Linked DNA regions of Diceros bicornis minor. The protein of the gene in region 4 interacts with the protein of the main gene of each other region in a biochemical or structural test. Links are inferred from orthologs where the notes say so. Each region holds a gene or a part of one and is shown on either strand. Other genes may lie near its edges.

Region 1 (8,072 bases), on a different chromosome or scaffold from region 4:
CTTTAAGGTTTTTAGATGATTGGTGACACTACTAGAATGGAATTTTTTAGACGGAAAATTGGCCATGATTTGCAAATACACATTTTATATTACAAATTTAAAACTGCAATTTCTTTTAAAACAGTAGATTCCTGTTTGTTTGTTTGTTTTTACTTTCAGTGAGCTTACAGCCATTCTGTATATTATTAAAAATAAAATCACCATTCAGTCACATTAAACATATATGTACTTTTTTCCTTCACAAAAGGGGAGGAAACTAAACTAAAACTTAGCAAACTATATTTAAGTTAGAACACATTTTGTAAAAATCCACTAGTTTAAAGTTTTGGAAATCTACTACACTGTTCTGAAGGAAAATACATTCTTTCAAAACCCTATCTAGTAATTCCTATCTAATTGGTATTCTATGAGAAAAATTAAAATTCAAGTTACAATACTTGTGGCACTCAACAGAATGCAAGATTTAATAAGAGAAGACTAAATTAGTATAATCAAACATAAACATATTAAACAATCAAATCAATACTAGACTTTTAGAACAGTAAATTATTAAATAGGTTGATTTGAGCGTTCAAATTCTGTAACATTAAATTACATTACTATTTCAAACCATACCCTTTCCAAACTAAACCTGAAATTAATCAACTTTTTTTCCAGCAAAGGGAAAGGGTATCTCTTTAAGATATTTTCCAAAGCAGTAAAAACATCTAGTGTTTCAGCCTATGTACAACTAACTCTGCTGGTCCTGTACATTTCACTGAGGTGCTACTTGAACCCACAAATCATCATCAGATAAAGAACTTGAACTTCCTGACTCAGAGTCCAGCTCACTAAACCCACCTAAATCCCATTCAGTACTAGATTCACTTGGTACATCCTCTTCCTCAGTGAGGAAACTCTGACCAGATTCAAGGCAGGAAGGATAAACACGAGCTGAAAGGCAAAAAAAGTTAGAATCAAACTGGAAGAGGCCTAACGTGGTACCTACATTAATCCACTGGTCTCCCCTAGTGTCATATTCATACACGGTCACCCGGTTCTTTTTCCACTGTGGGGTGCGCGAGGTGATTAGCAACAATTTTTGGCCATGATTGATAATTCGGTAGTTGTTGGTCTCTGACACCAAGGGAATATTATTTATCTGCCTCCATTCTCCTCTGACTGGATTGTAGACCTTCATGACCGGGATGTCACAGATACAATAGATCTCATCATTGAAGACACAGGCTTCCTGAAAGTCATTGCGCTTAAGAGAAACACACTTCAGCCACATATTATGGCTAGGATCATAGCAGAACATGCGCTTACTGTTGAGAGCATAAAGATAGTTCTGAATTACCATTAGGTCAAAGGATATAAAAGAATGGGGTAGTGGAGCCACCAGCGCCCACTGGTTCCTCTGAACACTGTAGCATTCCACTTCCTTCAATTTAACTCCGGTAATAGGGTCTCGCCCACCCAAAATGTAAATGTAGCCATTGAGGTATGCCACATCCATGCCCTCACGGCAGAGCAAGCGGTCTGCAAGTTGCTGCCAACTATTCTGGGCTGGTTTATATACCCAGAGGTCCTTCCTGGGCTGGGCAGCTAGATAGATGTCATGGTCTGGAGAAACACAGACTGCTAAGGTGGTGACAGTCCTAGTGTGAGCAAGGCAGGTTAAAGGCGACGGCACTTTGTAAATATCCCCCGTGTATGGGTCACAGCATAGAAAGGGATCTCTGGGATGTCCAAAGAAGATCACCATCTCCTTGGCACACACACCTAGCCTCTGGGGTGGATTTTCTGCTGCGGATACAACAGAGCTGCTGCTGTCCTCTGACTTAGGCACCACAGACTTGTACAACATGTCACCGTATCGTATCTGAATGGCCCCTTCAATAAGGTCCGGACAGTGCTTCTTCACAATGGGCTTGGTCAACAGCCCTTCTAGGTAATGCTGATCTTCATCAGCGAAGTGTGTCCAGCGGACACACTTGAAGACTTCTGCAGCGCTGGGACCCCGCTCCTTAGGAGCTGCCTCCAACCACTGCACAGCTACGTGACACACAGTCTGCTCATGCTCTATGTTTAGACTATCCAGGCGCAGGACGGTCAGCAGCTGGGCCAAGGTCAGATCTGCCAGAGTCTCCTCCCGAACTGAACCCATCTGACTGAGCTGCTTGAAGTTGTGAGCTATAAAGGACTGGGCCTGCGATCGCAGCTTGCGATGGCCAAAGGCGTCGGCAAACTTAAAGATGGCGGTGCAGTTGGCCAGGTCTAGGCGGCGGGCTAGGAAGGAGGCACAGGCTTCTCGCACATACTCCAGCTGTAGCATGTCGGAGGCCGCGTAGAGGCGCTCCACGTTGGCTTCACTCAGGGACACGCGACCCGTGTAGCAGTAGTCAACCAAGACCTCGAAGGACTCAGCATCCACATCATGCATGGTCACGCTCGCCTGCTGGCTCTCGTACATGCCGCCGGTGAACATGCTCTTGAAGTAGGGACACGCGGCAGCCAGCACATTACGGTTGCAGGGGAAGAGGCGGCCTGTGCCAGGCCCGCTGCCAGGTGTCACCACCTCGATGGTCACATCACATAGCAGCCGTGCATCGTAGAAGGACTTGAGCTGTGCCAGCAGGGCTGCAGAATGGGCCGTGTCCTTCAGCTCCTCCGGGCCCGTGAAAAAAGCCGAAACGGATGGCTTGTGAATCCTCTTGGGCCGCCTCCCTCCGCGGGGACTGGCGAGGCGGCGAGAACGCGGAGCTTCTTCCCGGGACTGCATGGTGGAGATGGCGGCGCGGTGCCGAGGGCGAGGACGGGTGCAAGGACCGGGCTCTGGCTCCTCCTCACCCTCCTCTCGCCGGCGCTAAGATCGTGGTGTCTCCGGAGAGACTGCAGCACAGGTCCATTTACTTAATTCAGCCCTATACCGCGGTGCCGCCTCCCTTTACCACGTAGACCGTGCCTGACTCACCCTTTTCCAGGTCTGCGCCCTTTCTCCACCTCAGCTCGCCCTCGCAGGACCTGCAGGTAGAGCCAAGAGAGCCACCTCCACTGCGCTGGCAATAACTGGTAGGTGTCCAGGAGAACTACGGCTCCCAGGTTGCCTTTCGCGCCTCGAGGCTTGCCGGGGTCCTCCAGACTTATGGGGATAGGTTGATGGACAGAAGCCGCTTTGCATGTCGGGAGTAGTAGTTTCAATAATATCGCGAGATTTATCGGCTGTTCATTGTTTCGGCTGACGGAATTAGAAATGGCTAATTCGGTTAGATTCGCTTTTATGGTTTAGAACTTTGGGTTTTGAATCTAGATTAGCCGCCGGTTCTAGTATTTATTGTTTGACTTCTCTCTCAGAACTGTCTCCTGTTTTTTAGAATGTGAATAACAATAGTATTTCATAACGTTGTGTGAAGATTAAATGAGATAAATTGCATAGGATATATTGGATGCTCTGAATAACTATTTGTTGATTAGTAGAATGGTACTTACCCAGTACCTATAATATAAAGGTTCAATAAATTTTAGCTTTTTTTCTAGCATTTATGAAAAATGAAGCACTCATTAGAAAGTATAAGACTCTAGGAAAGATTTAAAAACCCTGCAGGTTTCTGCAGAGATCCGTTTACATTTTGTTTTGTTTTAATTAATAGATTTTATTTTTAAGCTCAGTTTTGGGTTTACTGGAAAATCGAGCAGGAAGTTACAAGGAGCTCCCATATACTCCACCCCCTCATAGTTTCCACTATTATTAACATCTTGCATTAGAGTGTGCATTTGTTACAAGTGATGAACTTAATACAGTATTATTAATTAAAGTGTACAGTTTATAAATTAACCTTGAACCTAAAAATTTGAACTTTACCTAATCCCTGTGCTCCAGGAGAAGAGTAATATTTAAGAAATCCCTCAACCTTTTTTATCCTCCCCGGAATCTCCCCACCCTATTGTGTTTGGAAATAGCTTATCACAACAAACCACCTTTTCCCATCTGACTTAGATAAGACTCATTGTCCACTCTTTCTTGTGACTATGCTAAGACTCACAGATGACTCCCTTATTTACCTGTGAGAAGGTTAAACACAGAGGTTTCCATTTGTGCCTGCACCTGCCAACAAGGCCCAACACAGGGTCTCTAATTTCCACTCCTTTGTCTCATGAATGATTAACTGAGATTAGAAGCCTGCCCAAACCAGCTAGACACAAAGGTAAACATTTTCTATTCAGCTTACTGACTGAGACTTTCCCTGGTTACAAAAGCAATCCTAACTGTAAACCACTCCTCCTATAACTTGTCTAACTCCTCCCTATAAAGGTCTAAGGCAGAACTGATTGCCTTTAGATCTGAGCCATTCTCCATATTGCAATAGTCTGAGTAAAATAAATTTCCTTACTTGTTTGGTTTTTGACAGTTTGGTGCCATTACTGAAATGAAACTAGAAGCCCACCTCTGGGCCCCCGTCTTCTCCCCCTAGATACTAAGGCCTCTCGAGCCTGTGTGCTACTTCCCTGACTGGTGATTCGGGGATCTCGTGGTGAGTCCAGCTCCTGATCCATGTGCTCCAGACAATTGTCCATGGTGGCATGGTAAGGATTTGATTTTGGTTCTCTGAGCCATCTTTTGGTTTGGTTTTGTTGCTAGCTATTGTTTAATCTTAGTGTTATGGGAAACCCTCAACCCACTTCTCAGTGCTCTTCAAAATTCCCACCAATTATATGCTTCACCACTAAGGTGAAAATTCAGATCATTACCTCCAAAAATGGCAGGATTTTACTGAGGACAACTTATAATTCCAGTGGCCCCTTTGGGACACTTGGAATCTCCCTAAGCCTGTCTAGGTATAAGATGCCCTCAAACCTTGGGACTCGAAGATCTTTTCTCCCCAATGGTCAGCTTATTTTGCTTGGTATGTGGAGGCTGAAAAATAAGAAAGTCTCCAGTCTATCTCAAACTGTAACGTCTCCTAAGGACTGTCTCTTTTACCATCAGTCCAATCTCATGACCCTGTCCTCACCCAGAATTTATCATGTGACCAACCCAGCCCTTTCTCCTTCCCACTATTCCTCCTTTTCCTGTGGATTCTTTCTTCCTTCTGTCTCTATTCTTCCTCTTTACCCCTCCCTGCCTCCATTAAACTACTTTGCCCCCAACTCCCCATCCTAACCCTTATTATTGGTCGTTCCCCACCTGTGAAAGAAGGTCTGTGACCTGAGCACCCACCTGAACAAGTATTCTTTAATCCTTGATCTTGCTCAGATTTACATGTTACTGTTAAAGTCTTTCTGGACCCCCATAAGAATAGGGAAGAATCTAGTGATCAATTCAGACTGATGCTTGGGGTATATTCTCCTGGGATCCATTGATTTATATCAACTTGTGGAACTACTTATGGGTCCCGGAGATGCCACTTTATTGTTTGAAAAGCCAAATGGGCCACTCTTCAAGAAGACCTTCAAAGAAATCAGAACACCCCTGAGGCTTTCCTACCAGCTGAAACCACAGGGGAGAGGACTTTTAGAATCCATTCCCACTGTCTTCCTTCAAAAATTGATTGGTCAAAGATACAAGAGTGCAGAAAACAAACAGATGAATCTGTCTCCAGCTATATACATAGTTTAGAAAATGTTTGGAAGGGCTACAACTAAACCCTTTCCAGCTTGGTCATTAGCTTCATTAAGGCTATGGCCAGAAATTAGAGACATTATCCAAAACATAATGTAAATTAGGGAAGTGATCTCTCTCTGAAATACATACACATGAAATACATCACGAGGACTCGGTTGCAGAAAAGGCCAAATCAACACAATGCAAACTAATGACTTTACAACTTAATTTGAAGGAAATAACGGGATCATCTGCTCCCTCCAATACTCCCAAAGATAGAGATAAGCAGATATTGTAAAGAAAAGGGACACTGGACTTGGTGTTGCCTGGCCTCAAAATACAAAAGTGAACAAGAGTCCAAAAATCCATCTCTTCAATGACTTTCCTCCAAGAAACCTTCCTTTTTTTGTCCACAGCTCTCAAGGTGCAAGGGGAAATAATAACCATCAGTGGACATCCCACCCGGGGACACAGAGGCAAAGATTTCACCATTAACTCTGTTATGAGTTGACTTGTATTCCTCCAAAATTTATGTATTGAAACCCTAACCCCTAGTACTTCAGAATGTGACCTTATTTGGAGATAGGGTTTTTACAGAGGTAAACAAGTTAAAGTGAGGTCGTTAGGGTGGGCCCTAATCCAGTATGACTAGTGCCTCATAAAAATGGGAAATTAAAACACAGAGAGAGACATGCATAGAAGGAAGATGATGTGGAGAGACACAGAGAGAAGACAGCCATCTACAAGCCAAGGAGAGAGGCCTAGAACAGATCCTTCCCTTATAGCCTTCAGAAGGAACTAACCCTGCTGACATCTTGATCTTGGACTTCTTGCCTCCACAAGTATGAGACGATAAATGTCTTTTGTGTAAGCCACCCAGTCTGTGGTACATAACAAAGTACCATATCAGCCCCACAAAACTAATATAAACGCCTTTATTTTCCCACTATCCTCCCTTGGAGTACACAAACCATACCTGCAGTGGGACTTGATAATCCAGCACATGACTTGCCTTTGTCTAAACCTCTCTCTGCCTCACTAGTACCTCTCACCACTGGCATAGCTTTCTCCTTAGCTCCACTATCCTCGTAAACATTCTGGGAAGGCATTTACTTTCCAATTGGAATTATCAGTATTCTTTGCTCTCCCAAGTGCCTCACCCTTGAAGCCTCTGAATCCACGCTTATGTATCATTGCTCTTTTGTGTCTCTCATTGACCATCAGACTTTTCCTGCCCCTGTAAAAACCCCAACACCTAAGTACAAACTATGTTAATTAAAATACCTGACTCCTTTTGGGCTGCTCAGTCCACTGACGTGGGCCAAATCAGGGAGGCTGAACCTCCTGAAGTAGAAATAGATCCTTCCATGCCACTTCCAAGATTACCATAACATATCTAAAACTAGAAGCCCTCCAAAGTTTTCAAACTATAATTCAAGGCCTTATTGACACATCCTGTAATACTTCAATCCCCCCAGTAAAGAATCCTAATGGCAAGGGATACTGGCTAGTCCAACACTTGTGAGGATTAAGTAGTTAAGCCCAGGTTTCCTCTAGCTCCTAACCCTAGTACCAGTCTGGCCTATATCCCATCCAACACCATCACTTTACAGTCTCAACTTATGTTCTGCTTTTTTTCCCCCTACTATCCTTCTTCACCCTGACTCACAATCTTTTTTGCCATCACGTGGAAGAATCAACAATACATGTGGACTGCCATGCCTCAGGGGTTTACTGAGTCCTCTACTTATTTCTCTAGGACCCTAAATGCAAACCTGAGAAATTGAACCTTTCCCTGCGACTTGCTCCTTATAAAGTATGCAGACAACGTTCTTCTCTGTTCACCTGGTTTTGACAACTCATTTACAATAAGCTTTTGCCCACAACAGACATAAAGTTTCTAAAGACAAAATGCAGTTATGCAGCCCCCTCAAGAGCATTATCTAGGACATATCTCTCTTGAAGCGGAAACTTTGTCCCCTAAACGTTTTTGTTTTTTTTATAATTTTATTTATTTATTTTCCCCCCAAAGCCCCAGTAGATACTTGTATGTCATGGTTGCACATCCTTCTAGTTGCTGTATGTGGGACGCGGCCTCAGCATGGCCGGAGAAGCAGCACGTCGGTGCGCATCTGGGATCCGAACCCGGGCCGCCAGCAGCAGAGCGCGCGCACTTAACCACTAAGCCACGGGGCCGGCCCCCTAAACGTTTTAACATCATCATCAATTCCCCTTTCCCTTAGATCAAAAGACAACTCGGAGGGTTTCTAGGATGGGTTGGCTATTGTTGGAATGGATCCCTAGCTTTTTCACCATTGCCTCTTCCTTATATGCCATGACTAAGTAAACAGTGCTGATTCCTCTAACTGAGACTCTCTTTTCCATGACTGCATTTCAAAACCTGAAAACCTCTCTAACCTCTTCTCCTACTTTTGGACTTTCCAATTACTCATTACCCTGTCCCCTTTTTATACACAAAAAGGAAGGA
Region 2 (7,644 bases), on a different chromosome or scaffold from region 4:
GCTGATTTTTCTTTTCTTTTCTCTTTAACTCATCTGTCAAAAGAAATAGTATCTGTAAAATTACATACAACTAGCTGAAGTTTGAGCAGGGCTTAATCCTCACTAGCCTAGAATCCCCCTCGGAAATCAGGGTGTCCCCTATGGCTGAGCAGCCCTTAAGTGAAGCAATAAAGCTTATGGGAATCAGTTCTTGGATCTGAAAGGTGAAAAGGAAAATAAATCACTAATTTCCACGCTTACCACCATAAAATTTTTACTCTCAAAGCTCAAAAGGAATCACCGTACACTAAAATGCATCCTTCTTAAAACGTACCCCTACTATGAAACCCTACATCCTGACTGCTCCTTTCTTTTGGAAAGCCTTGCCTGTGGTTCTATTTCCATTGTTTCTATAAAGCAGACCCTTGGCCTCAGGCATTCTGTCTTATTCTGTGACTAATTCAAATATTCCTGCAGAATCAGTAACCCATATGAAAATGGATTTCCTTTTTTCTTTAAAGAAATACTCTGAACATATAAAAAGATGGATAGAATAATATAACAACACTGGTGTACCTATCACCTGGTCCTAGAACTAAAACACTGCAAGGACAGTGGAAGCCCCTGGGCACCCATCCCCATTCACATTCTCCTCTATTCCCATCGGCAGGAACCACCATCCTGAATCAAGGGCTCATCACCCCACGCAGCTCTCCCACTCACCACACAGCATGTACATTTACGTGATCTTCTTAATCTTTACCTAAATGGTATCATTCTGTATGTACTCATTCTGTAACTTTATTTTTCTTGCTCAATTTTATGTTCATGAAAGTCATCCACATTGACACCTACAGCTCTCATCCCTTCGTGTTTACTGCTGCATAATACTCCCTTATAGGAATATACCACATATTTGGCCAAAGACACTGCTTGTGGTTTCATATGGCTGCTATTTAATGCCGACTCAGTGCCAGCCATTTTCCATAACGTTTTCCAGAATTCTCACAACCACCTAATGAGGAAGGTAAGATTCCCACTAGACCAAAGAGGAAACTGGGACAGAGAGGTGGTGTAACTTGCTCAACACATGTGAGTGGCAGACTCAGGCTGTAAGTTCAAGTCCACCCAACTCTAAAGCTACACTCCTGACACTGCACCTTGTAGCCCCACTTACGCAGATACCTCCATTATTTAATGTTTTTTAATTAAATATACAGGGCTCCAAAGTCACCTGAGAAAATCTGAAACAGGATGCTCTATTTTCTTTTTTAACAAACAATTTCACAGGAAATTCATCTGACACAGGAACAGTCCATGTATAGAGTGAGGACAAGCCTCTGCCTCTGGCAAAAGTCCCTGTGTACTCGCTGGAGGCATTCCTGAGTTTATATAAACGCTTTCTAAGTAAGCTCGAGTTGAACTGCAACCCTGCTTGGCTTCCTCTGGAGTAACAGGCTTTCTGTGCCCACTTAGAGACGGGATGGAGGAGCCTGAAAGAACATGGGAATCAGAATCTGCGGGAAATGGAAACAGCTGAGTTGACAAAGCTCTAAGAACGACCCCAGGGAGCAGCTCCAGCTGCTGCCAGCTCCGGAGGTCCCAGGGAATAGTCCTGTGCTCACAAGGCCAGAGCGCTAGGCACAGCCCACTTTGCTCTCCACTTGGCCAGCTTTGCAGAGAGCATTCACACATCCCAGCCCAGCCCTGCTGCTCTGGAGAAAGCCCAGCTTGCAATACGGAAGGGAAGCAAGAAAGACGAGCGAGGGTGGAGGCTCACAGGAACCAGGCAGGGAGCAAGGCTGGGAGAGATGTGACCAGCTCGGGGACAGGGCCCAGATCTCCAGGTGCTCAAAGCAGGAGAGTCACCAGGAGGTGAAGGGGCCTAACCCTCTAGGAACTCCCAAAGACAGGGGAGGCCTCTCAGCACCAGGACCAGGACTTCTGACTCTAGCCCCCTGCCTCTATACTTTATCTCCCACACTGTGTCTCTCTGCGAAAAGATTAAGGAACCTCGAATGAGCAAGGCAGAAATGGCTGAGGCAATCCTTTCCCACCTCTCCCAGCCAAAATAAGGAGCAAGAAAACAGGCTCTGCCACTTACTGGCTGTGTGACCTTAGCTGGAGAGACCCTGCCTACTCTGGAGGAGACTGCAGTGGATTATCTCTAAGGGCTCTGCCATCTCTGACTCTCTGTCCATAGCACTGAATGCAATAACATTTACCGAGCAGTTTAGAGTATAGTTCATTTAATCCCAACACTCTTACAAGATAGATACTACTGGTATCCCCATTTTACAGAGGCGGCAGCTGAAACAGAGAGGTTAAATAACTTACTCAAAGTCACGAAGCCTACAGTCACGGATGCCTCGGAGGGATGCACAGGACATCGACAGGATGGGGGCTGGGGGCGACACAAGAGTGGGGCCTGAGGGTAGGCTGAGGGAGATAATGGGTCAAAGTGTCTGAGGAAGGGAGACGGGACTGAGCAGCCCTCTGGCCTAAGCCTAGGTCCTTAGGGCATGAGTTGGGGGCACAGGGACAGTGTCTGGGGAAGAAGCGGGGAAAGGAAGGCAGACTACGGAAAGGAGGCTGCAGGGAGAAAGTCCGATGGGCATAGCTAGGCTGGCTGGGGTCGGGGGCGGCTCCGGAGGCTAAGAAAAGGAGCGGGCTAAAGGGCGTATGAGCGGGTTCTGCGGGTCCGGGTGCCGGGCTTCGGGGCGCGCGCGTTCCCACCTTGAGCACCGTGACGGCTCCCGCGCTGTGCACCTGGAAGTGAGCTGGCGGCTCGGCGCCGGGCTCCGCCGCTTCGTCGGGGCCCTGGTAGCTGAAGCAGGCGTCCGCGATGTCCAGGTGGCCGAGGGGTATCGCGTCCTGCGGGCTCTTGAAGTAGTAGAGGTAGCAGCGTCGCGCGTCGAACACGAACCAGCGGCTGCGGTAGCCGCGCAGCGGGCCCTTGCCGGACAGCTTCTGCAGGTAGCCGCACAGCCGCGCTGGCTCCCGCCCGGGCCCCGCCCCAGGCTCCGCCGCGGCCCCCGGGGCCGCGCCCTCACCGCCGCTGCCCTCCTCCGCCCGGGCCCCGGGCCCCGGCATCGCTAGCCAGCGCGCCAACCGCCACTGCCCGGGCCCTCGCGCCTCCTCGCCGCCGCCGGCGCTGCGCCCCCTCCCACAGCCCCGCCGCTCCGCACGGCCTGCGGGCGCGCAAAGCAGCCTGGGACGTGTAGTCCCGCCCCCGCCCGCCCCCGGGAGCCCCCGCCCTAGCCCCATCTCCAGCCCCAGCTCCCGGTTCCCAAGCGTCTCAGAGGTGAGGTCTGGGCGGGTTGCCCCTGCGCCTCATTGCCTTCGTGTAACATGAGGCTCAGAACCCTGCGCTGCCAGGGTGAAACATTGTTCTATTTCTTTACAGGAGTGTGGGTTACACGGGAGTGTGCATTTCTCAAAATCCATCAGAGTGTCCCCTTAAAACTGCATTTCATTGTATGTAAATTATACCTCAATACAAAACTTTATTTTTAAATCTCTGCCCTGCGAAAATCACGGGCTAATACGAAAATGAGAGAGCCTATTGCCCTGCGCGGAGTGGGTGCTCAGTAAATATTTGCAGAATGCATGAATGAAAGTGTAAGTATTTCCCATCTCTTCAGTTCCTTCACTGAATTCAACAAATGTTTATTGAGCGCCTTCTGTGTGTCAGGTACAGTTCCAGACCCTGAAGGATACAGCAGTGAACGAGCCAATCATTTCCCTTCCTCATGGAGATGATATTCTAGTGAGAGAGAGATAACACCCACCCACCCACCCACCCACCCACCCACACACACACACACACAAGCAGATAAATATATACTGTTATATGAATGCTGTGATGAGATTTAAATAAGGATTACCACTTAAATAGCACTTATTACTTGCCAGTGCTTTATAAATTAATTCATTTGAACTCTCACAATTACTTCAAGAGTCAATTACTATTGTTTCACAATAAAGTAAGAGGACGGGGTGATAGAGGGCAGGAGTGGCAAGCTGTTCCACAAGTACAGGAAGCCCCTCTGAGGAGGTTGCCTGGAGCAGAGACCTGGATGATGTGAGGGAACAAGCCTGCAAAGATCCGAGGGGGGAAACATTCCAGGCAGAGGTGACAGCAAGTACAAAAGCTCGCAAAGGCAAAATGGTGGTTATACCTACCTTTGTGAAAGGGCTAGATCAAGACAAATATCTCACCTTCTTCGTTTTGCATGTTTTTACAAGACACACTAATAGACACAGGTAGAAATCAGGCTTTCTGAGATGGACAGGGACACCAAATTAGACTGTCTGCCTGGAACCAGACAGGTAGGAAGGGTGAGGTCCCGGGGCCTCACCCCACCAGCCAGCCGTGTTAGCTTCCAGGTGTTCATCAAGGGTGAACCAAGGTGTTCGTCAAGGGGCCCATCAAGTGTGCCTCCACCTTAATGCCCTTCAGTTCTCTTTGAGCATGATACTGCGCAGTATTAAGAGCTGGCCTCTGGAGCCAGACTCATGAGATTTGTCTCCCAGCTCTGCCACTAACCAGAGGTATGACCTTGGGCAAGATATTTAACCTCTCTGAGCCTCAGTCTCTTCATCTATAAAATGGGGATAATACAAGTGGCTACCTCATACCATTGTTCTTGTAAGGGTTACATGAGAAATGCATGTGAAAGTGCTTAGCACAGTGCCTAGCATATGGTAAGCACTCAATACGCATCAGCTATTATTATTATTGTTATTCTTGTACAGTTAACACTGATGCCCTCCTCAGAAGCTTCCAAAAAGGGAGATCTAGCAGTCAGACCAGGCCCCACATGTGGGAGGCCAGAGAATGCACTGTAGGAGTGGGGTGGGCCGCTGTGCGCAGTGAGGGAATGGAATTCAATTTGAGCCTCACCCTACGGGTAAGAGGGGCTGTGACTAATTGGCTTGTGGGGCAGCAGCCTGGGTGGGGTGTGACTGCGAATCCTATGGAAAGGGGAAGAGCTGGGAGAACTGGGTCTGTACAGCTATAGTACTGGGACGCTGCAGGGTAGGGGCAGGGAACAGCCCATCTCTGTCCTCTGCTCTATCAGTGAGTTGTGAGAAAGTGTGGGTGGCCGTGCCCTGTAGTCCTGGAGAAGTGAACTAAGCCTCGTAGGGTACTGTGTGGAGGCAGATATCTGCTAGACGTGAGGAAGTCATCCTTCACAGGCAGAGGGAGTGAGCCTCCTCCCTGGGGCAAGAGTCTGGGCTGGCTGACCGGGGCATGGCAGGTGGTACTGGACAGGAAACATCTACAGTCCCTCCTGCAGCCGATGTCTGTGCTTCTCAGCGGGCAAGCTGGGCCTCAAGCCTGACCCTCCTGTCCTTGAGCCTCCACTGCCTCCCCGGTCACCCACGGCAGAGGAGTGGGGCCATTTTAACATGCTTGCACGCCTTTGCCCTCTTCCTTTTGCAGGCCACACTCCACATCACATCAAACATTAAAATTGCCCACATCCCATAGTAAACATATATGTAATTTTCTAAAAGTGTTTGAAGGAATTTCTATAATTATGCTCTTGATATTATCTGACTATGAGGAATTCATTTTAATTTACAATTGGCTACAACCTCCTGGCAATCATCGTGTCTATGCAGGAATCCTGGCTGAGTAAGAAAAACCCGAACTACAAATTGTTTTTAAAGGGAATGACATTTTTATGATTACTGCGAAGTTGACATAATGTTACACTTTCCAGACATTCAATTAAATGTTTATTAATTTTGATTTTACTCTTTTTCTCAGGTTTTGGAGTCAATATATTTTTCTTAGGCTACAAACATTTCATAGGCCCTTTGAAAGCTGGTGGGCCCAAGCACTGGGCCTAGGATCTAAGGGATAAACTGGCCTGGCCCTTGCCTGGCTCTGGCCTGGACCAGAATGTGGCCCTCTGAGGAGGCTGCTCAGCCACAAACCCTGAGACCCCAGCTAGAGGGGCAGAGCACAGAGGCCTCAAAGCCGGCAGCAGCACCTCAGCAGGGGCCCTGGAGGCCTTGAGTCTCTGCCCACCTGGCCGGCAGGCTGAGCCCAGTAGAAGTGGCCCAAGCCTTCCAGGGCTCTGTCGGGCCTCCAGGACCAATCCCGAAACCCTCTCGGCCCTCCAGACCTCTCCCAGGTCCCCCTGCCCTGCCACGTCTCTCAGGGCCACTCTGGGATGCTGGTTATTTCATGAGCAAACCTTGCGTCGAATCGCCTCTCATCCCCATGAGCTGAAGGGGGCTAGAGGACGGGACTTCAGCTCGTCTCTCTTAGCACCTCTCCCATCTTCAATTTGGATAATTTTTATAGTTGATGTAAAATGGTAAACAAATGCAGCTTCAGTTTCCCCCCTTCTCTAACCAGATCATTCCCCTCAAGGCCCTGCTACATGGAAATTCTGGGGCTGCCTCTGGTGGCTCCTAATTCCTTGGAACACTTCTTAAATGACTTGTTGACATTTTGCAGTTCCTAAGGTCTCTTAGATTAAATGTCACAGTCCTGTGGTCAGGGGGCCAGCTTTACACAGAGTATGTACCTCCCCTGTGTCTAAAATGGGTGTGCTTGGTGCCAGAGGGTCTGCCCTGCATGCCCATGTGAGCCCCTGCCCCCTCAGTGACCAGAAGGAAGTGGCCAGTCCAGGAGGAAGTGGCTGCTGTTTACGGAAAAGGGGAAATTTGGGCAGTGAACTTGCTCCCACATGGTCAGTCTCTGGGCAAACCCCAGGGGGAACGCAGAGCCAGTGACTCATCCTAGGCCAGTTTCCCCAGAAAGGGACTTGATGAGAGGCCTCTTAAGAAGCACCCAGCCACACACTGCCCTCTGAGTCTCTCAGACCCCAAGGAGACAGAGCTGGCCAAGAAACTGACCTGCCACAGGAGGAGCTCGCAGTCCCGCAGGGAGCCCAGAGAGGAAAATAGACCTTCTCACCTGATACGCTGTGTGTCCTTAGGGGTGTCTGTGCCCTCTCTGGACTGCAGTTTCCCACCTGTCCAATAAGGGAATGGATGGCTGGGCAATCTCCAAGGGCCCTGCCCCTGCCTGCTCTGAAATGTATCAGTGGCATGAGGCACAGCTGTGAGGGCCTGTGGTCACTCTTCCTACAGCTCCCCAGACCACTGGAGGCTCTGCTCTTTTGAGCCTCCGTGCTCAAAGGCCTCTCGATTTTTCCGGCCATCCAAACTGACCTATCCCTTCCCTCAGGGATCTCTTCCATCCTACAGGCTTGGCCGCCCACTGTGGTTAGTGCGAGCACTACCACTTTGGGGTCACATATTTGCATCTTCCCTGGGCCCTGCTGGAGAAACTGCCCTAACCACCACCACCCACACATAAATGGCACAAATGGAGGCCTTCTGTCCCCGAGACCGAGTACAGGCAGAGATGGTGCCGTTATTTGGGGGTAGGAGACACAGTGCAATCCTGGCAGGGCCTTGCTAAACCCAGAGCACATCTGGAGGAAGTTGGCCTGGATGGGGAGGGGACTGGAGGTCATGGGGTGAGGTTGGAGTGCTGGTGCTGTGAATGCGCTGAGCACTGGAGGGCTGGAGAGGGAGCAGGGAGAGCAAGACCGTCTTCAGAGCAGAGGCTGCATTGACCCAAGTGAACAGCTCCCATGGGGAGACCTCCACCACCACCAGGGAGAGGGCTGTGCA
Region 3 (7,361 bases), on a different chromosome or scaffold from region 4:
CCCACAGCCTACAACCTAAATAAAGAACAATATGCAAGATAAACTAAAGCAAATAGTATTCTATGGATTATTAAGAGGTTCTGTAGGACAGCAAAGCGGGGAATAGAAGGAGGTAAGGGGCAGGGAACCAGGTTCTGGTGCCCGGCGCCTACTCCAAACAGAGCCTTTCTGCTGTTAAAATGTTTCCGCTGTTAAAAATTTTTGAAAACCACTGGACTAAAGTGCCCAGTTGGAAGGCACTGCTGTAAATCAAGTGTGAGGGTCATAAAACCCTGGAATGGGGTAGTAGTTCTGTATTGGAAATGAAATGGGAAAAAAAAATGAATCCACAGACTTTTTCATGGAAAATTTGACAGGATCTAATGATAAACTAGATGGGATAATGAAACAGTGGATTTGCAGGGGTCGGCCCAGTGTCACAGCAGTTAAGTGCACGCGCTCCGCTCTGGCGGCCTGGGGTTTGCAGGTTTGGATCCCGGGCACAGATCGACGCACTGCCTGTCAAGCCATGCTGTGGAGGCATCCCATATAAAGTAGAGGGAGATGGGCATGGATGTGAGCCCAGGGCCAATCTTCCTCAGCAAAAATAGGAGGACTGGCATCGGATGTTAGCTTAGCTCAGGGCTAACCTTCCTCACACACAAAAAAAGAGTGGATTTACACGAAAAAATCAAAAATATCAACTGAGCAGCAGCTGCTGGTCATACAGAGTTGAACATCAGCAACATAAATATCGCCACATAAAAATGTCTGAGCCCTCAGGAAGTGCTACTCAAGGCAGAAAAGCAAAGTGGCATTCTTACACGGATTAGGAAGAGAACAAGCAAAGGGAACCAGAAGACTGTAGAAACAGACGACAACCACATCATGGAACGCAAAGGAAGCAAGCGAGTGTTTGAAAAAGAGGCATCACTGTACACAATGAGAGGGTTCACAGCCTTTGCAGCCAATCAGACCCAGAGTTCTGGCACCTCCTCCACTTCACCAAGTTATTTGACCTCTCTGAGCTTCATTTAATAAGGAAAACATAAACTAACAACTAACATTACTGGACACATTATGGAGCATTGTGCTAAGTGCTTTTAACACATGACCTCATTTAACCCTCACAATACATTTTACAGATTAAGAATTAAAATTTAATTTAGTACTTAGCACAGAAAATTGCAGAGCCAGGATTCCTATTTCTCAAGACATTAAAATAAAGGAATGTATATATAAAGTTCCTGGCAAACAGGAGGACCTCAAAAATGGTAGCTATATTTTATTATTAGAAGGTAATGATCAATAGGGACAACACAAAAATTACTGTGAGTAATCCCAGTCATAGCCTTCCAGGTGGCAAACTCACTTAGCATCCTCAACTACAAAACAAGATTAATGCCCGTAATCCAACCTACTCAATACAGTATTGAATTAAATGATGTTATGAAGGATTAAATGATATTATGAAAATACTATGAAAAAATATTAAGAGATATTAAAAAATAAAGGATTAATGTCACATATCTTTTGCTCTTCAGAAATGCTTTCCTGGATCAACATAAATCTCTCTGAAGAGAGCTAAAAATAAGTCTGTTAACTGTGCAAGCACCATTTTGAAAAGTATAAGTCACCACAGAATGGTGATATACACCACCCACGCCTCCCCCTGACCCCTCCAGGTTCTCTAACGTCCCCGCAAGGGCAGGGGTTCTCTTACACCTATAATGAAACTCTGATAGCTCAGAGTAGAGCTAATCAATAGAGAGAGCTTCTACTTCAATTCAGAGCTGTTCAGATTGGCCTTATGGCACTATCTCAGAGATGCCCCCTTACAATCCTTCCAAAACAGAAAAGAAAAAAAAAGGTTTCCAATTTTCTTCTATAGTATTAAAACTGGGTGCCCAGTCAATACGAGAATTCAGACACTTTACGAAATGTCAGAAAAAAATCTATCAAGGGGTCTGTCTGATAGCAGGTATCTTTTAGAAAATTCTCCACGACTCCCCTTTTTGCACCTGAACAGATGGTTTCCAGGCCTCGAGGCTCACATGTCTGGTGACACAATTCACAATAGCACACAAAGTTCCTACCTTTTAAATTATTTCGTGTTCTTGAATACACCACCTTTCATCTAAAGATCTCTAGGTATCAAAACAAGAACTCTTTAAACTTCACAACAGCATTATCTGGGAGAGAGATTAGTACCCTTATTTTATAAACTAAAAATGAAAGGCTGAGGTTAGATGTTTTACCCAACATCAGTTAGTTGATTCATTCTTCGGGGGGGGGGCGGGGGGGATGCACATTATGAACACATATCAATGGAGAGCCTAGATTTAGCTCACTTCAAATATTAGTTCAAATGTATCTACGGTGTACTCTGACATTTCCAATATATCGAAGATTAAATCCAAACTAAGAGTAAATACCAAAGCATCACTATTTTTACATGCTAAAAGAAAAAAAAAGCTATATGGGGGAGGGGTTCTAATTTAAGAATCCTACTGTCTTGCATCCATAAATACTTTTGAACTTGAGGGAGGGGAAGGCACACCTGTCAGCGCAACATATTCACAATAAGTTTACAGACTGTGTAGCTATTAATATTTAATTCCTTAAACTGTAAATAAACAATCCGCCTTCTCAAAAAAGGCAATATTATGAAAATCATTTGAGAAGAAAACCAACATAGTTGTAAGAAGCCCAATAATTTCCTAGGTTTACGTCTCCCAGGCTTCGTGAACTTGCCACAAGGGAAAACTGCCCGCCCAAGAGTCCGGCCGCGGGGAGCCCGGCGCTGCCCACCGACGCTCCACGCGCACCAGGCCCGGCCGGCCGCGGGGGAGGCGAGCTCGGCCTCCCCTCGGGCCCCCTCGCCCCGTGGACAGACGCGGCCGGCACTCGGACCCGCCTCCCGACTCTCGGCGCGCCCGCCTCGGGGCCCCGCAGCCGGGGAGGGGGTCGCGGTCCGGCCCGGCCTAGCCGCCCCTGCCCCGCGGCCGCCGGCGCCGCCTCCCTCCTTCTCCCCGCTCCCCGCGTTCTTTACCTTTTGGGCGCCGGCGGCTGCTCCATGGCGGCCAGGGGGCTGAAGGAGCGACCTGGTGGGCGGCAAAGGCCGGTGGGAGGAAAGGGGCCGAGGCACCGGCCGGCCGAGCCAGGGGAACCAGAGAGGGAAACTCCAGGAACTCGGACCAACTTTCCCGTAACTCTGCAGCGGATCCCCACCCCTCTCCGGAGCGCGGCTCCTCCCGGCGCGCCCCGCCCCTCCGCCGCCCGCCCGGGTCCAGGAAGGGTGGGCGGAGCCAGGCGCGGGGGGGGGGGGGGGCGGAGCCGGCGGCGGTCCAGAGAGGGTGGGCGGAAAAGGCCTCGGTGCAGGCGTGGTGGGCGGAGCCAGGCGCTGGGGAGGAGGCGGAGTCGGGGGCGGAGGGAGAGGCCGGCGGTAGTGCAGCGAGGGGAAATAAGGAGGGGAGACTGGAAGAGCCAGAGGACGAGGCCGAGTCAGGACCGAGAGCCGCTGTGTGCTGGTCAGGGACTTGTTCCTTTGCGCTATCCTAGAGCTACTGCCCCTCAGTTGCCTTCATTGCTTTTACCCCAATACTATTTGACTCATTTCTTTAGCTTTCTCAAGGATACATCCCAAACATCTTGTACAGCCGTTTGAAGTATTACTAACTGCCCACGCTTCCCTCTCTAGTTCTGTTTGTAATTACTGGTTATGTTCTCTCCTAGCCATTTGACATTTGTAGCTACAGTACCAGGGATACTTCTGGAAATTCTTGTTTGATGTTGATTGTGAACAAGCTCCTCAATACATTTCACAATAATTACATCTAATTACAAAGAAAATAATTACTGCAGTGAGATCTCCCAGTGCACCAAATTCAGTGCACTGTGGTCTTGCCGGCTGTTCAATTGGGTAACCCGGCAAACCTATCGCAAATTAAAGTGCATAGGAAAGCACTCAAAAAAAATGTGTTTTCTTCTCTCTTGCCACCCTCTCCCTCCAACCTGTTCCCAAGGCCCTTACCCCATTGCCGTTTGACCCCTTCATGTGTCTATATTGTGCATATGCCATTTTACCTTAAATTCCATATATAGATATCTTGCTTATGACCATATACAGCTGCTAGGTAATGAGTTTGCTTGTTTTTGTTAGAAATTTATCAAGATGTAGAGTCATATAGAGTTTTCTCAGAGATAAGAACAAAGAATATGGAGAGAATGTTGAATAAAGGAATTTTATGAACATTAACCCAAATTAAACTTGTCTATTAACAGTTATTCCTCTTTTTGCATTGTTTCACTATGTAATAAATTTACATGATTTATTTTCAAACCATTATATTCCCCCCTAAATTTAGTTACGTTAAATTCGTTAAGACCATTCATCGTTGAAACCTAGTCAAAGTCTGTAAACAAGAGAGATTATTACAAAATTTTATACTCATTTAGATTTATTAAAGATCTACAGTCTAACAGTTCAGAAGTAACAGGACAACAAAAAACTAAACCATTAAGATGTTAAAGCTAGGAAGAACATTTGAAATTGTTTCATCTGTCCCTCACTCTCATCCTCACTTCCACGCCGTAGTCCCGTATTCTTGTATTTCATCAGAAAAATCTCTTTCAGAGAGGGTAATTTCATCTTTTTAAAAAATTGCCATATTTTTAAATGGGCTCAAATAGACATACTTTAAAATGGATGCTGAATTATGTTACCAACCTCAGTCTCCACGAAGCATTTCCCAGTCAAATCACCAGCACCACCACCCCGCTACCTTTGACACTGAAGTTGTGAAAGAGATGCCTTTCTTATACGTGCCCATAACACACTGTGCTGGCTTTTGCATGATACTTATCACAGTTGATTGAAGTTCTGTTTATTTGACTGTCATTCCAACCCAGCTGTGAGTTTGTTGAGAAGTAGACCAGGTCATTATTCTCTCTATCTCTTGCATAGCAAGTGCCTTACACATAGTAAGCTGGATAGCTTCCTTTTGCACCCCCCAGATTCACTCTCCATCCTTTTCCATCTGCTCTCTGCCCTAGGGGCTGACCTGTATAGCTGACATCCTTGGAGTCCCAGCTCTCTGGCTTATAGTTGGGTCTGATGATAGGGAGACCAACAGGAGATCATCTGAGGGAGAATGGAGTATAAGGCTATTTATTCCCCTGGTTCCCTTCCTGTGAGGTTGTCTAGGGCCCAACTCTTCTTGCTTCCTCTCCTCCCTGTGGGCCTATGGGTAGTGACTGGTCTGCCAATCCCCAGATTCCTCCTCTATTCCCTATGTTCCCCTAGACCTCAACCCTCCTCAAATGACCCTAATTTGAGTGTACCTTCAAAAACTTTTCCTAATGGAACCCTGACATAGTTACCCATAAAGAAAGTTTGTGGAGGAGGAGGAATAATATCAGAAAATAAACCTTTGAGGTCTTCACTCAGTCTGAAAAGGGAGACGGCTAACAATGGTTGTATGACTCCAATAAGGTCAAATACTTGGCTACATTGTCTCATCAAACCCTTAAATCTACCTTGTTAGGTAGTTATTTCCATTTTATAGGTAAAAAGAAACTGAGGTTCAAAGAGATGAAGAGAGTAACCCTAGGCCAAATAGAAAATCTGCATTCTAACCCAGGCCTTTATACTTCCAAAGCCAAGCCTTGTCCCACTGTAAGTCAGTCAATAAATATTTACTGAGCCCTTATGCATACTAGGCACTGTTCTAGGTGCTGAGGATTCATCAGTGAATAGACAAATAGACAAAAATTCCTGTTCTCATAAGATTTACATTCTGGTCGAGGAAACATAAGGTAAATAAGCACCTAATCAATAATGTTAGTGCTGAAAACTGGTAAGGAAGAAAAATAAATTGGGGAAGGGGAATATGAAGTGGAAGGGAAGGGATGAAACTTAGATAGGGTGGCCAGGGCAGGCCTCAGTGAGAGGGTGACTGAGGAAGTGGGGGAGAGCCATGCCCATGGCTACGGGAGGAGACTGAGACCAAGGAACAAGAAGTGCTGAGGCCGGAGGCAATCGTGCCTGGTGTGTCATGTGTTACTGAATGAAAGGAATTGTTTTTTTACTGAATTACTCAGAAAAGAAAAATTAGCCTGAAGTCTCTGTTTCAATTTGTCTGTGGAAAGCTAGCCTGAAGATTCCAAGAAGGAAAGCATAGAAATCATCATTCAACCTGCAAACAACAGGCAGCAGCATTCATGAACAATTGAGAGCTATAGGAAAATCTGAGATACAGGTAAGAGTCACTCAGCTTCACGTAACTGTGAAAGCAGGATAATCTGTTTCTGCTTCCAACCGTTCCAACTGGAATGGAGGTTAAGTATGCACTTTAATTATACTAGCAAACAGCTCACCAGAATTCTCAACTGCGTGCTCTGAGAGAAATGTGAGAGAAATCTGCAATTTGGGACCCAGTTCCTTAGAATAACAAAACTGCATTTGTTGTCACTGAATAAATACCACCATGTTTTATGAGTAGAAAAATATTAAGGTAAGAAAAATTTTTTTCCTTATTATACTAGTTGCTGCTACTTATTGAAACTGCAAGTTTGTATTACTCTTTTTTCTCATATTTATTTGAAAAATAATACTAATTAACAACTGCTTATCTTTTCTACTATTACGAGGAAGAGTTTGGGGAAAAGAGAATATATTACATTATGTAACTTTTTATTTGCAGGGAAATTCAGAATTATTTCCTTTCAAGAGGCAACTTTACAAAATGTTTTCCCTTGATCTGTTTCTCTTTTCTGGCTTAATTTTATAGTTAGCTTGGAACTAGCATGTTGCATTTGAATTCAAACACTATCCTGTTTTCTCAGAGCAATCCTAAACTTCTGTTTCGCTTATTTGTTTCTCTGACCAAACTGTAAGCCTCTTGGGAATAAGGACAGTATCTTATTCATATTTATCATCTCAAAAGTCTAGCATATCAGTTAACTACAAGTAATACCTCAAAATGATTTTTAAAACAAGAAGCCTAGAGGTAGATGTTTCTAGGTTTGATTAATTCTTTGATTTGCTTCCATTTCCTGCTCTGCTGTGCACAACATGGTCTCCTCAACCTACCTCCCTCCCCTCAAATGATGGCTGCCAAAGTTCCAAGTTCACCTGGACACATGACAGTGTCCAGCAAAAGAAGAGGGTTCATTCTTTCTGAATACCACTTTTGAAGATGATGGGAAAACCTATTCTAGAAGCCCCTCTGCAGACTTCCCTTCATGTCCTATTGGCCAGAGTGTGTCACAGACTCATTGCTGGCAAAGGAAATGAGGTTACAAAAACCTCTATAGACCAATTGTGATTCACCCCATGGAGCTGGGCTTGGAGCTGGGACTGGGACCAGCCTTCCCTGAAG
Region 4 (8,174 bases):
CTGGTAGCACCAGCTGTGACCAATAAGGATCAGTAAGAGACAGAAACCGCAAGAAGGGAGCAGAAAAGGAGAGCAATAAAGCAGACTGCAAATAAGACATCCAGAGGGGAGGGCGAGATATGGAAAGAAACTGGGGGTGGGGAGAATCATTAAGGCCTCAGTTTACCAAAAGATATTTAGGTTTCCAGAAATCCCAATTCTATTCCTCACTTACAGTGGGCTCTGGGCTAGATGCTTTGTCTCTTTGCTTCTCAGTTTTCCTCATCTGTGCAATGTGGCTCATATACCACAGAGCTGTTCACGAATCTTAAAAAATAGACAACCTGGGGCCGGCCCCGTGGCCTAGCCATTTAAGTGCACGCGCTCCACCACTGGCAGCCTGGGTTCAGATCTCGAGTGCGCACCGACGTACGGCTTGTCAGGCCATGCTGTGGCGGCGTCCCACATAAAGTGGAGGAAGATGGGCACAGATGTTAGCCAGGGCCAGTCTTCCTCAGCAAAAAGAGGACTGGCATGAAAGTTAGCTCAGGGCTAATCTTCCTCACCAAAAAAAAAAAATAATTAAAAAAAATAGACAATCTGTTCCCGACAGTTTCTTGCTATGTTGCAGGTTTTCAATACACTGTAGCTATTAAGAAAATTTCAAGATCCCATGAAACCCTCCTCTCTCAAGGCACAAGCACACCTATTCTTTGGATGGCAGCTAAGAGACAGTGTTGGGGCTAAGCTTGAGGATGTGAGCAGTCACGGTATGTGACTGCTTTAATAACACCAACAGTCCAGCTGGAAGGGGCTTTAGAAATCTTGTACTCTAACCCTCTTTCCTGTGAATAGGACGCCAGCACAGCAAGACTAAGGGTTCTGCCCAGAACTAGAACCAAATCTCAGAACTCAGAGGGCGGAGCTCCTCGTCCTATGTCACAACTAGAAAGGTGACCAGCTGAGCACCTAAGGAGCAGCTTACCACTGGTTAAAATCTAACTGAGGGAACCATGAGATCTGAGGGACGGTCAGACCAGCTTACAAATTATCAAAGAAGTAAAACATTTAACACCAATGAACAGAAAAAAAACGAGGGATTAGCTGACATACTGGTGAATGCATGTAAATGACTGAAATGGGAAGGGCTCAGTTTTGAGGAAATATATGGGAATTTTAACTAGATTTAGGAACTGGCAAAATTCAGAGTTTGTGGCTTAGGTCATAGTTCTGAAGAAACAGTCATTTCGCTGACTGGGTTACCTTTCTGGCATCATATCCTCTGAACGCTTGAGGGCAGCAAAAGTTTTATTTCTCCATTTCCCACACCTAACAGCGTGAGGCCCACAGCGCACACTTAACTGTTTAATAGAACTGGGTCAGAAATTGAGGAATGATATGACACGGAGGGTCCAAAAGGCAGTTGGAATCTGGCTCCACCACACGCCAGCCATGTGAAACCTGCAGGAAGTCACTTCATTGTTCTGTGCTTCAGATCCTTCTTCTGTACAATGGGATTATAATGGTGTGAGGAGTAAGTGAATGAAGAAAGAGCACTTAGTTTACCATGTATGTGACAGTATTCTATCAATAAAGGTTAATTGTCACTTTTAAATATTCTGATAAGAAAGTAGGACTGGTATATCACCAGACTTGAGGGACACTTTTAAAGCAGTTATCCAAGGCCCAGAGACCAGGAAAGCAATTTGTGAAAGATCCTCTACCGGGTAAAAGGGCTAGCTCCCCTTTTTAGCCAAAGACCCTTTGTTTGCAATTGCTGGGGAACGGAACAGCCCTAATGTCTCCTCCTCCTTATAGGAAAAGGTCTGCAAGGGGTTTCCACTGCTGGCCTAAGGCCCAAGTTGCTTCTGGTAGCTGTAGCACCGTGACAGGTAAGGATGGAGAAGTCCCAAGAATCTGGGGGTCAGTAAAGGACATCAGATAATCGCAATCCCTTTGCCTGTAATTTGCACGTAATATTTATCCTAACGTTCCCGCCTGAAGATAAATAGCACAAGCTTAAAGTGTCTGCTCTTCCATCTCCCAAATCCAACGGTTGTTGTTCATTACCACACTTAAATTTCCTGCCCTCCAATCCGGCTGTGTAGCGCACATTACAGAAAAACCAGTCAAGGGGCGGGTGGGACACGGGAAAAACGCCCGGATGCAGCAAGATTCCTTATTATCTCTTCTCTGTTCCTCCTCACAGCCTACACTAGTTTTAATTACATAAACCAGGGTGTAAAACGGAAGGAAAAAGGCCTCAGTCCTTCCCTATTGTATGTAGGTACAATCTGATCAGAATGAGAACGGGAGGAAGGCTGGCTGCCCCCACACATGCCCTGGAGCCAGGAATGATGAGGCAACCGGGCTGTGGCGCAGAGAACGTGACCTTGTTTTCTCCGCCAGGCGTGTCTCGTGACGAGCCCCCCCGCCGCCCACCTACCTGCCTAATCTTCATAGTATAAAAGAAAGGACCCACCTGCTTCCGAACCTTTCCCTCCCAACCCCAGTGCTACGAGGGCCAAAGTCAACTCGATTAAGGGAATACCACGTAAGGCAGAAATCGATAGGAGCAAACCCCATTGCGTCAGTTATTCCCACAATTTCCCTGTGATCTTAAAAGCAGCAAATCCAAGGTCCCAGCCTAATCATTCTGGCACAAAAGGGCCACATTTGGAGCACATCCCAACCTACATCGCTTCGGAATACTGCTGAGTCACTCAAGAGCAGGCTCCGCTCTAGAGATGCAGTCGGCTCTAAAGATGGGGACGGGCCCTGGGGATATGGGTTCTGAAAGGTCCGCAGTCAGAACGTCCATTCCACTGGCTCTCCGGGTAGCGAAGGGCGTTCAGGGTTAAGTAACTGAGGGACCACCCTTCTGCGCCTGAGGGCAGCCATCGCGACGCCCCCGGCCCCGCTAATCCTCTCCCCCACCCCCTCGGCACTCCATTACACTCACAGGGACCCTGTCCGGGTATTTCTTCCGGATCTTTTCTCCTTCCTTTTTCCGATATTCAAAGGGATGGTCCTCCTTATACTGGAACTTCATGATGGACCGCAGGGTTTCTAAGATCCCCGGACGGGGCCTGCCTCCCTCGCTGATGACGGCGTCTCTCCCGTCCTGCTTCCCTCCGCCGAACTTCAGTGTGTATCAGAATCGCTTCGGAAATGTCAGCTCCCTTCGCGACGCAGCCTGGCAGAGCTTTCAGAAGGGATCGCAGGTCCCCTGGTACGGAGGTAGGGGATGGCCAGGTAAAGAAATCCCCGCGGCTTTCCCGAGAGCTGGGAACACAAAAACAACGCGGCGCGTAGGCACTGTGACCTCACGGAGCTCCGCCCTTCAGCCCGCCCCCGGCGCTCCGGACCGCGCGGCGTGGGGGTGCGCAGACACGTCCTCCGTGTCAGTGCATTCTCTCTACGTAAAGGTTTCCTGAATAGAATCCATTGCGGACATGGAAATATTTTACTTCTTCTTTTATTGTGACTGTGACATTAAAGATGGTTTTAAAAGCAAAAAAGTATTTTTTTTCGAAAGATGTGTTTCCCTCTCCTTCGCTGTTTCTTGGTTGGGCCCAAAAACAAATACAGAGGGCGAAAATGCAGCTTTTTCCAGCTTGTTGGGATGTGGAGTCTGGGAAAAGAAGGGATAGGGGTCCTGGAATTCCTATGGCCAGTGCAGAAATACCCCTTGCTTGCATTTTGCCCTTTGTCCGTTCAATTTCACCCGCCCGGCACCTCAGGAGCTGTCTGTATCCGTGACCCCTCCCACCACGATGCTGGCGTCATTTTGTTTGGGTCCATGCGGCAATTTGCTCCTAGAGCAGCAACATAAACAGCATGACTCAGGAATTTGAAGAGATGTATAAGGTGAAGGGCATGAGGTGTAATCAAGGTACGGAGACGTGATGTCAGTCACGTATACGAAGGGCTTCACGCATGTTCAAATATAGAGATGATTCACTTGGTCTTGTTAACCCAGGAGTTGGGCCTGTCTTCTGGAAAGGGAAATAGCAAGCAATTCAGGTGATTAACTCAGTAGTTCTCTAACATCCTTTGTCTTCTGCAAAAATTTCCCCTGAGGATAGTACTACTGGTTAAGTGTCCCTAATGTGAATAAAAAGTGCCACCTGAAAGGCCTGCTTTGACCTGAACAAGTCCAGGGAGTTCTGAAAAATATACATTGGACAACGGCAACCGGACACCTATCATCTTTTATCAAGGTTTCAATGTCTCTGATTTAAAAAAAACAAACCCACACACAAAAAAACAAAGTTTCATTATTGAAACAAGGAAAATGAATTACGTAGTCCTACTTCTTGGTCTTAACTATTTTTCTCCACGGCATCTTTCAGCCCTTTTTGTGTATGAAAATCCAAGAAGTGTTTTATAATATGTTTATAATTTTTAGTCCTTATTTTCAAATCGAAAATAGTTTATTTAATTCCTTGTCAGTCATTTTAGCTTTGAATCAAATATAGCTAAATCTTTCAAAGGACTACTTTACAACGAGTTGAGAAAAGTAATTATGATGAAGATTAATATTTTGTTTTCTCCTCCAATGGACTGGAAACAATTGTAGCTAGTTAAAATGCTGATTTTAACTTTTATTTTAAAAATACTTAGGCACAGTGGCAATTTATATATGAAAAATCATTTGGATATGCAATATTGGTTAATCTTTTTTGGTCTTAAGGCCTTTCTAAATGCTAATACTTTATCTTAGAATACCCAATCTGTCAACTTCCAAAGTTTGCTCTCTACCTTTATTCTCAGCCTAACATTTAAAATATTATACAGAAGGGAATTTTATAAATTAATACAATCAGATAAAAATATTTCAAAATTCTTTTTTTAACCAAAGACAAAATACTATATTAAAAAGCTCACATTTCAGGAACTCGCATTCAGTGCTGACAGGGGTGGAAAATAGTACAGCCACTTTAGAAGACGGTTTGGTGGTTTCTTAGAAAACTAAACATACTCTTATGACATGATACAGAAATCATCCTCCTTAGTATTTACCCAAAGAAACTGAAAATTTCTGTCCACATAGAAACCTGCACGAGGATGTTTATAGCGGTTTTATTCATAATTGCCAAAACTTGGAAGCAATTAAGATGTCCTTCAGCAGGTGAATAGACCATAGACCCCCCCCCCATTAGAGGAATGTTAAAGAATTTGTGGACGTGTTTTGAAACCACCACTATTACTCAAACCCTTTCTTAATTAGTCTTTAATTTTGTTTGTATCATTTTTAGGAAAAAGAGAAAGAAAAAGTTCACTGATGCCAGAATAAATATAACAAAACCATATTTCATTGTGTGTTTTCTTAGCATCATTCAGTGGTCAGAGATTCTCTGTAGTCTTTGGGAAAATTTCAAATTCCTTAATAGAGAAATAGAGTACTTATGCTCTGGCTGCTATTTCTCTCTCTAGCCTCATATATAGAACATATATGTTCCAGGCATACTAAGTTACTTAATTTACTTCTTTCCCTTTCTTGCCCTTGGTTCTGGCCATTGGATATTCTCAAAGGCTCCTCCTATGAAAATATTACCTCCTATTTTTTTCTATCTAATTCCTATAAATCATTCATTGTTTAGTTCAGGTATCAGCTTCTCCAGGAAATCTTTCTGATTTCATTTTCCTGGGTCCTTCTGTATCCTCTGTGTGTAAGTAAACATAAGTGAGGCCATCTTTGTTATGCTAAATGACCCTTTCCTAGTTAAAACCCTTCTAGTGTGTGATTATTATAAATTACTACATGCTTTCATGATTTTCTGGCCCTGATCCTCTCCACATACCCCTGCTGAGGTACTCTGATACCTTTGTTCCTAACAGTCTTAACAAATTTTCCCAAGGAATAAGAAGGCTTCCAGGAAGAAGGAACACCTGTAGGATATTCATCATCACTGACAGAAGATAAGAACAATGAGGGACCCATGTCGAAGGCCGGCATCTCTAAACCCTGTCTTTACTGCCCATTTTCCCTATATAACTGCCTCAAGATTCTGTAAATCTTTAAGATGGCTTTATTTGAGACATTAGTCTCCCATCTTCTGATTATGCTGGCTAATCAAATAAAAGCTTCCTTTCTCAATCTCTAACTAGTTGTGATTAATTGGCTCAAATCACGGTGAGCAGAACAAGCCCGTTGCTTGGTAACAAGTGTGCTTCCAAAGCATTGTGTGCTTATCTTTGTCATTGCACTTATAATGATGTATTGTTTATTAGATTATATGATACCTATTAGTTCTCATTGTTTTTGGGGGAGAGATATACATGGTTTTGAAGGCAACTACTACTTCTGCACTGACATCACATAGTTTTTCTAGTGGGATCCACCCATCATAGACCCTCACTGCCTTGACCGTTTAGAAGGCCAAGTAACTTACACAAGACTAATCAGAATCTTTTCTTAGAATTTCCCACATATAAACTAAGGGAAGTAAGCCCCCTCTTTGGTGATGAAGTTTGGATGATATAAAATCAGAGGCTTATAGTAGTCATTGTTTTAGTCTCATGCAGTCCAAATTTGCAGTCCAAATGCACCAGTCCAAGATAAAGACAGGTAAAGAAGATGACACTCAGAGAGGCAAGATATATAGATATGTCTAGAGAGAGATATAAAGATAGAGTTGGAGGGAGTTCTAATGACATTTAAGTCCCTAGTTTCAGGTAGTCTCTCCCAATAGACTCTGTGCTATATGATGGCATATTACTTGTATTTTTGTCCTCAGTGCTTTGGATACAAAGTAAAGACTCAAAAAATGTGCAGTATGTCATAGTCAAAAGAGCAAAGGGTAGACTTCTGATTTAAAATGGCAGATTGAAGAAGATACATTTATCTTTGCTGTCTCCTGAAACTCCACCAAAACAACTGTGTCATGGGTTGAATTATGTCCCCCCAAAAGAGGTTGACGTATTATCCTGTATCTGTGAATGTGACTTTGGAAATAGGGTCTTTGCAGATGATCAAATTAAGATGAGGCCATTGGGGTAGACCTTAATCCAGTATGACTGGTGTCCTTCTGAAAAGGGGGAAATTTGGACACAGAGACAGACATGCATAAAGGAAAGGGGATGTGAAGACACAGGAAGAATGCCATCTGTAAGCCAAAGAATGCTAGAAGCTACCAGAAGCTAGGAGAGAGGAATGAAACATTCTCCCTCACAGCTCTCAAAAGAAACCAACCCTGCCTACACCTCGATTTTAGACATCTAGCCTCCAGAACTGAGAGACAATAAATTTCTGTTGTTTAAGCCATCCAATTTGTGGTACTTAGTTAAGGCAGCCAGTGATACTGTGATTTATAATAGGAAATATATATTTGGTCTGCTACCCCATTCCTGGCACAGAGCTCCTAAAACCCTTGGAATTTCCTAAGTGTTGAGAGGATAAAGGTGTCTTTTGCGATGCTAATGAGTGACTGTTGGAATGCATCTAGGTAACCTAAGGATGGGCGATAGTCACCAGAGGAACCACCCATGAGATTAGAGAGTTGAAACTTTCAGTCCCAAGCCCCCCAACCCCCTGTCCAGAAGAAAGGGGCTGGAAATTGAGTTCAATCACCAATGGCCAATGACCTAATCAATCACCCTTATGGAATGAATCGTCCATACAAACCCCAAAGGACAGGGTTCTGAGAGCTTCCAGGTTGGTGAAGATGTGGAGGGCTGGATGAGTGATGTGCTGGGAAAGGGCATGGAAGCGCCACACTCCTCCCCACATACCTTGCCCTATGCACCTCTTCCATGAGTAAAATATTTCTATGAGTTCTGTGAGTCACTAGCGCAAATTAATGAAACTGGAGGTTATATGATATTTTCCCTCTTCAAAACTTACAATGGCTTTCATAGAATGCAGGATTGAGATCAGACTGCTTAAGCTCACATGTAATGCCTTCCATAGAAAGATGCCAACCTATTGTCCCTGACTAACTGCCCCAAGTAACTTGAAGGAGGTTCCAAACGCACTTGACTGTTTTTCAAAGTTGTTTTTCAGTTACGTTGACAGATGCAATCACCAACTGCCCTGAACCAGTCCAAATCCCACCACAAAGAGCGAAGCTTTCGCAGACAGGCGGAGAAGTGTCCAAAAGTTACCTTTGCTTCATTTTGATGTTAAGATCTCTGCCTCAGGAGGAGCTTCAGCCTTATTAGCATAATGTGTGATGTATGTGAAAGCGTGT

What was found.
Region 1: the proteins of GABARAPL1 (region 4) and kelch repeat and BTB domain-containing protein 6 form a complex in vitro, tested with the Homo sapiens proteins (2 studies listed by BioGRID and IntAct, with this or other methods). The link is inferred for Diceros bicornis minor from reciprocal best matches to the Homo sapiens genes GABARAPL1 and KBTBD6.
Region 2: the proteins of GABARAPL1 (region 4) and TBC1D2B form a complex in vitro, tested with the Homo sapiens proteins (2 studies listed by BioGRID and IntAct). The link is inferred for Diceros bicornis minor from reciprocal best matches to the Homo sapiens genes GABARAPL1 and TBC1D2B.
Region 3: the proteins of GABARAPL1 (region 4) and STK3 form a complex in vitro, tested with the Homo sapiens proteins (2 studies listed by BioGRID and IntAct). The link is inferred for Diceros bicornis minor from reciprocal best matches to the Homo sapiens genes GABARAPL1 and STK3.

What each region holds. Positions count from the first base shown.
Region 1 is NC_080748.1:35,166,752-35,174,823, reverse strand, and holds the start of kelch repeat and BTB domain-containing protein 6, read right to left. Parts: upstream 3,036-8,072; 5' UTR 2,765-3,035; coding exon 755-2,764; 3' UTR 1-754. UniProt on the Homo sapiens protein: As part of the CUL3(KBTBD6/7) E3 ubiquitin ligase complex functions as a substrate adapter for the RAC1 guanine exchange factor (GEF) TIAM1, mediating its 'Lys-48' ubiquitination and proteasomal degradation.
Region 2 is NC_080744.1:70,965,723-70,973,366, reverse strand, and holds the start of TBC1D2B (TBC1 domain family member 2B), read right to left. Parts: upstream 3,073-7,644; coding exon 2,716-3,072; intron 2,384-2,715; exon of another isoform or gene 2,317-2,383; intron 1-2,316. UniProt on the Homo sapiens protein: GTPase-activating protein that plays a role in the early steps of endocytosis.
Region 3 is NC_080760.1:17,574,374-17,581,734, forward strand, and holds the start of STK3 (serine/threonine-protein kinase 3), read right to left. Parts: upstream 3,155-7,361; 5' UTR 3,058-3,154; coding exon 3,032-3,057; intron 1-3,031. UniProt on the Homo sapiens protein: Stress-activated, pro-apoptotic kinase which, following caspase-cleavage, enters the nucleus and induces chromatin condensation followed by internucleosomal DNA fragmentation.
Region 4 is NC_080756.1:51,971,566-51,979,739, forward strand, and holds the start of GABARAPL1 (gamma-aminobutyric acid receptor-associated protein-like 1), read right to left. Parts: upstream 3,222-8,174; 5' UTR 3,032-3,221; coding exon 2,942-3,031; intron 1-2,941. UniProt on the Homo sapiens protein: Ubiquitin-like modifier that increases cell-surface expression of kappa-type opioid receptor through facilitating anterograde intracellular trafficking of the receptor. Involved in formation of autophagosomal vacuoles.